Linked DNA regions of Macaca mulatta. The protein of the gene in region 1 interacts with the protein of each later gene in a pairwise test. Links are inferred from orthologs where the notes say so. Each region holds a gene or a part of one and is shown on either strand. Other genes may lie near its edges.

Region 1 (3,209 bases):
GTGTGTCTCTGGGAGCATACGTGTGGACCAGTCTGCACCACTCGGCCTGGGCTATGGCCTGTGCTTTTCAGGGCAGTGGGCTGAAAGACTCTGAGCATTCAGGGTGACCCCTTCCTTGACTGATGCTGATGCTGGAAGGGCCCTTCATTTTGCTGGACTCCAGAAAGGTAATATCACCTTACTGGGACCACAAAATTTAAGGCAGAGTCAGGACCAGAGGTAGACTCCCTGCCCACAGGTAGAGCACACTTGAGACTGCAGAGGGCTTTCAGGAGGAGGTGGCATTTGAACTGAGTCATGAAAAATACGGAAACCTTCCCCCAAACACCTGACACTTTAGGAAATACCTGTTGAAAGAATGAAATTTAATCCTTTTATAAGATTAGTAAAGGTCAGTCGTTAGCTGGTATTCTGTCTAAGCTGGGAATTTTGAGAACCGAGTGTGTAAAGTCAGTTCACCCCTGTGGTGTGTACTACGAGGTAGGTGTGATTGAGTTTTATGGCCTTGGTTACCAGCTCCTTCCAGACTAGGATGGCTGAAAGCCCTCTCTCTCCCTAATGAAAGTCATTAGCCACACAGTGTGGAGCCAGTCCAATGGGGCTCGAGCTGCACCCGGGCATGTTGGGCACACAGGTCACTGGGTCCTTACTCCTGCTTCAGCCTGGCGGCAACAGCTTCTCTTCCACTTGTCTTAGATGTTGTAAAATTGTGCTTAAAAATCATTTTCCACTGATTCAAGGGAAAAAAGTTTGAAAGCCACTGGCCTTGATAATTCCAGGGTGCCTATTGAACCTTCAAGGTAGGTGTTGTACCCCATTGTAGCATTGAGAAAAAAAGGCTCAGAGAAGTTAAGCTTTTGGCCAGGGTCACAAAACTGGTGAGAGAGAGACTAGGATTCCAGTTACACAGCTGGTTGGTGACAGAGCCAGGTCAGGTCTGGGGTCTAGGTGCTTTCCACTGCCCCTCCCTCTCTCCCACAGAGGTAGAACACACATGGCCCTTTACTCACACCAGCACTGCTGCCTGCCTGACATCTGTGGGCACTGCCCAGGGAGAGCCAGGCATCTCCAGCCTCCACACAAAGAGAGGGGCTCTGGCCAAGTAGAGCACGCTCCGTCTGCTCACACAGAAGCCTGGAGCCTGGCGTCCAGGGCAGGGCTCTGATTGACAGGCCTGCCAGACGGCCTTTGTTAAGAGTGTGATCTCAGTCAGTTTATCTGGGCCCAAGCTGCCACCACAGGCCCCTGGCAGGAGCTGTGATCCAGGGAGATGCTTGGCTGAGCAGCTCGGAATTAAAGCACTAATAATCCCCCTTCTACCCTCTCACGTCTGGAGAGAGAATCAGGCATTGATTTGTGAGCTGTTTCAAACCCAAGAGCCCCTGAATCACTTTCATCCTTGTCCTGCTGCCCCCTGCCAAGGCTTGGAGGTGCTCTCCAGAACAGCTTCCTCCTTCCTGTTCCTGTCCCTGCCCATCTGCTGCTGCTTGGCTCCCTCTGCTCTCCTGTTCACAGGACAGCACCGGCCGTGGAGCTGGGCAGACCTAGGGTCCAATCCTGCCTTCTCCATCGTGTCCCAGCCATGTGACCCATGGCAGTTACCTGACCTCTGAGGACCTCACTCAGGTCTTGGTCTGTAAAGTGGGGGTGGGAGGACCTGTCTATTAGGGCTCCTGAGTAGAATACATAAGGTGATGCATGTAAAATACCTAGCACAGGGTCTGGCACATAGTAGGTACTTAAAAGTGGGCTTTCTTCCCTTCCTGGTGGTTGAATGAAGTTCAACCAGGTTAGCTGGGTTAATCTAAGGAGATTTTTGCAGACTCTTCCAAGCCTTTAATATGCTCATGTGTGACCCACTAATGTGGGGAACAGTATATGGGGTTTCTCAAAGTCACTTAACAAATAACACTTTTAGAGTACTAAAAAATACTTTGTAAGACACCAGGACTCCATGAAACTCAGCTCAGGAAGTGTTGCTCTGAAGCATCTAGATAGAGAAGTAAACAGCGGGAACTACATCCAAAACTCAGTATTATTTCTTACGACATTTGTGTGTTTCTCGGTTAAGCTCTGAGCTGTGTAGTCATCCCCCCTCCAGATCCTGTGATGGGTCCCTGTGCTGTGGTAAGGGATTGGATTCTATCCCTTGAAGAAGGAACAGAAGCAGCAAAATGTTGATCAGTGAGGCCACTTGTCTGAAGTCACCCAGCGTATCTTGCTTCAGAAACAGCTGCTCTACACCCACATTGCCAACCTCTTCTCCCAAAGGCCCCGCTGGCACTTGAGTTTAAGTGACCACATGTGCCAGACAGGGGGTCCTGTGGGCTTGGGATGCATTCAGACCCTTCCCCAGTGCAGAGCAGCGCTGGACAGCTGAGTGGGCTGTGGAGTCAGCCAACTTGAGATCCAGTTCTGCCCTTAACCACAAAGTAGCTCTGGGGCCCTGGGCCTGTAGTTTCATCTCACTGAACCTATTTTTTCATCTTTACAGCAGGAATAGTAATAGAACCCCCTCCTAGGATTGTGAGCACAGTCGCCCTGGCATATACAGAAGGGCTCTGTCACTGTGACCATTCAGCTGTTCCCATGCTTATCTTAGGTTGCCTGTATTCCTTCTTGCCTTCAATAATTTGGCAGGTGTTTGCTGAATGCCGCCTTCCGAGTGCCTGTGCCTGTGTGTTTGGGGCCATGCATCTCCCCATCAGGAGCCCCCCACTTCGGGGGTGAGAGCTATGTTTGGTCAGCCCATCTGGCTAACTCTCTCTCCACTCTGCTTCTCTGCTGTGCGTGCTGTGCAGGCATCAGAACCAGTGGGAGACTTCCAGCCAAGCTACTACCTGCCGCCGCCACCACTGCCGCCCCTTCCACCACTTCCACCACTTCCACCACAGCCCCAGTTCCTCCCGCCAGGCTACCTCTCTGCGCTCCACTTCCTCCCCCCGCCACCGCCACCACCGCCTCCGTCATCTTTCTCACTGACCGTCCTGTTTGATACTGACAAGGAGAACACTGGTGAGTGAGCTCCAGTCTTCCAGCTTCTGCCAGAGCCAGGGAGACTTTCTGGAGGAAGAGGTACCTAATCTGAAGAAAGTTTAGGTGTGGAGAGAAGTGACGTGGAATTTAAGGGTGCTGAGCCCTAGGATGAGCTCCTTCTTATACTCCTCCTCCAGTCCCCATAAGCACACACCTACGGGAGGTGGGAATGG
Region 2 (4,285 bases), on another chromosome or scaffold:
TTTTAGTAGAAACGGGGTTTTGCCATGTTGGCCAGGCTGGTCTTGAACTCCTGACCTCAGGTGATCCACCCACCTCGGCCTCCTAAAGTGCGGAGATTACAGACGTGGGCCATGGTGTCCGGCCTCACATCATCTTAATATCTGCAGAGTATTCCCAGAATTTGTCTAGCCTATTGCCTGTTGTTGCTGCCGTTGGGTACCACTAACATGCAAGGCCAGTTTCTGGCCCTCACAGTGCTCCTGGCACAGCTGCAGCATCCTGCAGTTTCAGAGCCTGGGCAGTTCATTCAATAATCAGAGTAAGGAAGGGCCACGAAGTGCCAGTGTGGGGTCCCCACCTTCACCCAGGGGTGATGATGGCTCTCAGGGAGCTGTTCTGACTCCAGGTGCTGATAGCAGAGTTTCTCTGGCAACCTGTAGCACTGCCTTGAGAAATGATTATCTAAAGCATGTTTGCATGGGGGTGAGGGGTGCGGAGGGAATAGGAAAGTCACAGTGTCTCGGCAGTGGATTGAGCAGAGTGATGGTGATGCCAGTGGCCACGATTCTTTGGAGCCCTGAGTGGTAGCAGAGGCACCACGGCAGGGGGTCCATCCCAAAAACACCTGGGGCCCTTGGCTGGTGACAGATAACTCAGGGACTAGACCAGGATCTGTCTCACTTGCTTTCCTGGTAAGTTTTTCTCTCTCTATCAAACAGAGCAGGCTTTCCCTTCCATTCAGTCTCACACTGCTATGTCCAGAAAATCATCACACTCTTCCACTAGAGGGGTGGATATTACTTTCTCAGGTTTCAGTTCTGTTTGCCCACTCACTGTATATTCTTTTGGTCTTTCCAACGGTGATCCAAGGATTTATTTAACCCAGCGGTCAAATTGGTCATTTTAAATAATAGTACATCTTGTCCAAGTCCAAAAATAAAATGTCCTGGTATGAGAAGGCAAGCAGAGGAAATTGGATAGAGTAGGCTGAAAACATTTTACAGCACCATTACCCAGAGCCCAAATCCCTTTTTCATTTATCCCTTTTTTGTCCTGGCATGGCAGGAGTCAGAGCGCCTTCTGTTTGTGTTGATTAAAGTCTGCCTCCACCTTCCCCCGAGCCCAGTTGCCCTTCTCAGGACACAGGCTGCATTCACCATGGGTCTCTCTGCCCAAGCTCTTTGCAGATTTTATGAAAGGCGTTTTCACTTGGATTAAACAGGCACTGTGTTTGTGTGTGGTGTGTGTGAAGGAGAAAATGAATCACTTCAACTTTGGGCAAGGATTTTAGGTGTTGTGTTTGTCCCATGCAATTACATAAACACACCAGAACTCATTAAAAAAAAAAAAAAAAAAAAAACACACAGTAGAAGAGAGGGGCAGAGATTCAAGTGCTTGCGATGATCTAAACAGTGCGGCACATTTTCCATACATTAGACCTCAGAAAGGGTTGTGTTCTGCCCTCTCACAACAGACTCCAAGTCCAAAGGAAAGTTTGAGGTTTTACATTTCTGTTTGTGGTACAGGAAAAGGCTTATGATCTGAGGGCTTGATTCAGTGAAATAACATTGCTTTTATACACATTTGCTTCTCAAGGAGGGCAGGAGTTGGAAACGACCGTTGTGAAACGTTAAAGATTTTCTGGCAGAGGGAAAGGGATTTTTTTTTCTCCTTCCCTGCCGAGGAAAAAAACAGTTGTAACGAGGAGTTACTTTGTAGTTTTAACTCATATTCAAATACTCCCAGTCGAGAAGCTGCCATCGACCCTCCCATGGACCCCTGATCCTGGTTTGGAGGAACTTTTGACAACTCTCTCTCCCTCCTTCAAACCCTGTGTGATGAGTTTGCAGAAGAGAGTCTTCCCGAGAAGGCAGAACGGTGAGTGGAGCTGCTTCTCCTATCCCAGGGGACTCAGGGGAGGTTGGAATGCAGGGGTGGACCCTTCCTGACGACCTCCCAGGGGAGTGGAAGCATGGTTTTGGCCACACTGTGTAGTATATGAGTGAGTGTGTCAGTGGTGTGTGTGCTCACATGTAAGTGTGTGGGGGCACACATGTGTGCTGCAGTAGGACACAATGCCTGTCTTTGCAGAGGCTGGCTGAATGCTTACCATGTGCTTGGCAGAGAGTTCAGGAAGGGCAATTGCAGGACCCCCCAGGGATGAGAGTGAACCCTGGCCAGGGCAGTGGCTTTCCGTGTGCCCTGGCTTCCTCTTCATGGGGCAGAGGCATCAGTGTCTAAAACGCTGTAGCTGTCAGGGTCCCCACCAGCTCCGCTCCAGTTTCAGCAGAAGCGGAGCGGAAGAGGGAGCTGCTCAGCTCCGGGAGAAGTGAACGGAGCGCAGGTCTCTGGAGAAGATCTGAGAGCTGGGAGGGGCCTCCATCCAGACCCCCTACCTTCCTGCAGGTACAGCCCAATGGATGAGAGCATTTCTTATTACGATCTTCTTCCTTTGCTCTGGAAACATAAACAGGCATCAGAGCAAAACGTTTTAACCCTTCTGCCCAACTTTTAAAGTTAACACTGGCGAAACTTCAGGTCCGTTGCAACTTTGGCATAAGAGTTTTCCTTAAAAAGGAGAAGTAAGCAAGTCAAAGGCATATTCTGACTTTTCTAGCTCCAGAAAGACATGGCTGGAACCCTGGCATCCACTTGCTTAGGCTGCATTAAGGCATCTGCTGAAGTCTGAAGAAAGGCAGTGGGGTATAGGGAATAAGAACCTGGGCCATGGGGCGTGGCCACCTGGGATGGAATCTTGGCTCTGAAGGTAACAGGCTCCTTTACCTGGGAAAAGGTTTTCAAAGGCTCACTTTCCTCCTTTGCACAACGGTGGTCATAAATTCTTACCTCACAGGAAGGCAGAAACAATAACTAAGATAAAGTATGTGAAATGACCCAAATGGCATGTACATATTCAGAGGACATGTCAGCTCTCCTAAGCAGGCTGCTCCCCTGTTCTGAAACAGCAACCATCATAGATATACAGGCTTGAGGATGAAGAAAAGAGTACTTGAGGGCCCAAAGTAGCCCTGGCTCTTTGTGTAGCAGAAAGTGGGGTGAGCATTCAGGTGGTCTCCCTTTGGAGGCAGACGACATGGATGCATTTACTTCCACTGGGGATCTTTGAGGCTGGGACTTGACCTGGTATTTACTAGGTGCTCAGTGTTTGGTGAAACCATTTTATTCACTCTGATTCACGGGGAGGTCTTACCACTTCCTACCCTGGCTGCACCGCCTTTGGTTGCGTTTCCCTGGTAACAGATGGTGAGACAGAGATTTGCACATACGAAGTTCATTGGTGTGTGCTCTGGGAACAACACCAGTGTGGGGTGAGGGAGGCAGAATCAGACAGATGGAGAAGTTGGGCTGTGATGCAGTTGCAACACCGGCCTCAGCAGATCCAGGGGATCCTGTGGGGTTTTGTATCCCTGCAGTGACCAGTCATTGCTTGTGGGCTGCCCCTGGAACCCAGGCATAACCTTGGGCGAGGCAGCTGTCTTTGGCTGAAGGTAGTTTCTGGAGAGGGACTCAGTTGTGAGTTGTCACAGACAACCCTATGCCAGCTGTGGGAATGAACGCCTCGGTCCAGGGTTGAGGAGCTTATCTGGGCGATGCCCCATCATCTACTCAATACATTTGATGCAGTCCCTTCTTTTCTCTGAGTTAGGCTGTTAGAAGACTGGGCATTCACATGCAGGGACACCTGTCCAGTTAAATCCTTGCATAGCAGTGTGACTTTGGATAAGCCCCTTTCCATATCTGGGACTCAGTGTCCCCGTCTATAAAGTGGATGGAAGGGTGTTGGACTAGAGATGGCCCCTAACAACACTCCAGCTCTGCTATTTCACATATGCAGATTCTGAGCATGTGGCCATGGTGGTTGGATGTGTCCTTAATAATAGTTGGGTCCTGTGGTCTCCACCGTAGGTGCCTTGACTCCTGCTGGGAAATATGAATCGAGATACCTGGGGATCCTTGGGACTTGGCCAGCTGTCAGCAAGGAGGGGCTGGGCCTATGGGAAGCAGAGGGAGGCTCTGCGTAGGGCTGGAGGGTGGGGCATAGGGTTTGAGGAGGATTCTGCTGCACACCTTCCCCCACACTCCCACAACATTTCTCCCCCCTCAAAAAAAGTAAAACCACATGAGACACTGCCATATGTCTTTGATAGTTAAGAGCTATGTAATGTTGCCCGGGACAAACTTGGATGTAGTTTTATTACTCTCTGTCTCCTCCTAATTTCCTATTTACTTTTCAATATACAAAGAGTGAAATCACTTTCCCAAACACTTGGAATTCATTTTCAT

The links. The genes of interacting proteins can lie anywhere in the genome.
Region 2: the proteins of DMRTB1 (region 1) and IL16 interact in a two-hybrid assay, tested with the Homo sapiens proteins (2 studies listed by BioGRID). The two-hybrid records come from large-scale screens. The link is inferred for Macaca mulatta from reciprocal best matches to the Homo sapiens genes DMRTB1 and IL16.

Annotation. Positions count from the first base shown.
Region 1 is NC_133406.1:187,151,146-187,154,354, reverse strand, and holds part of DMRTB1 (doublesex- and mab-3-related transcription factor B1), read left to right. Parts: intron 1-2,801; coding exon 2,802-3,015; intron 3,016-3,209.
Region 2 is NC_133412.1:59,422,922-59,427,206, forward strand, and holds the start of IL16 (pro-interleukin-16), read left to right. Parts: upstream 1-1,338; 5' UTR 1,339-1,818; coding exon 1,819-1,858; intron 1,859-2,259; exon of another isoform or gene 2,260-2,386; intron 2,387-4,285. UniProt on the Homo sapiens protein: Interleukin-16 stimulates a migratory response in CD4+ lymphocytes, monocytes, and eosinophils. Primes CD4+ T-cells for IL-2 and IL-15 responsiveness. Also induces T-lymphocyte expression of interleukin 2 receptor. Ligand for CD4.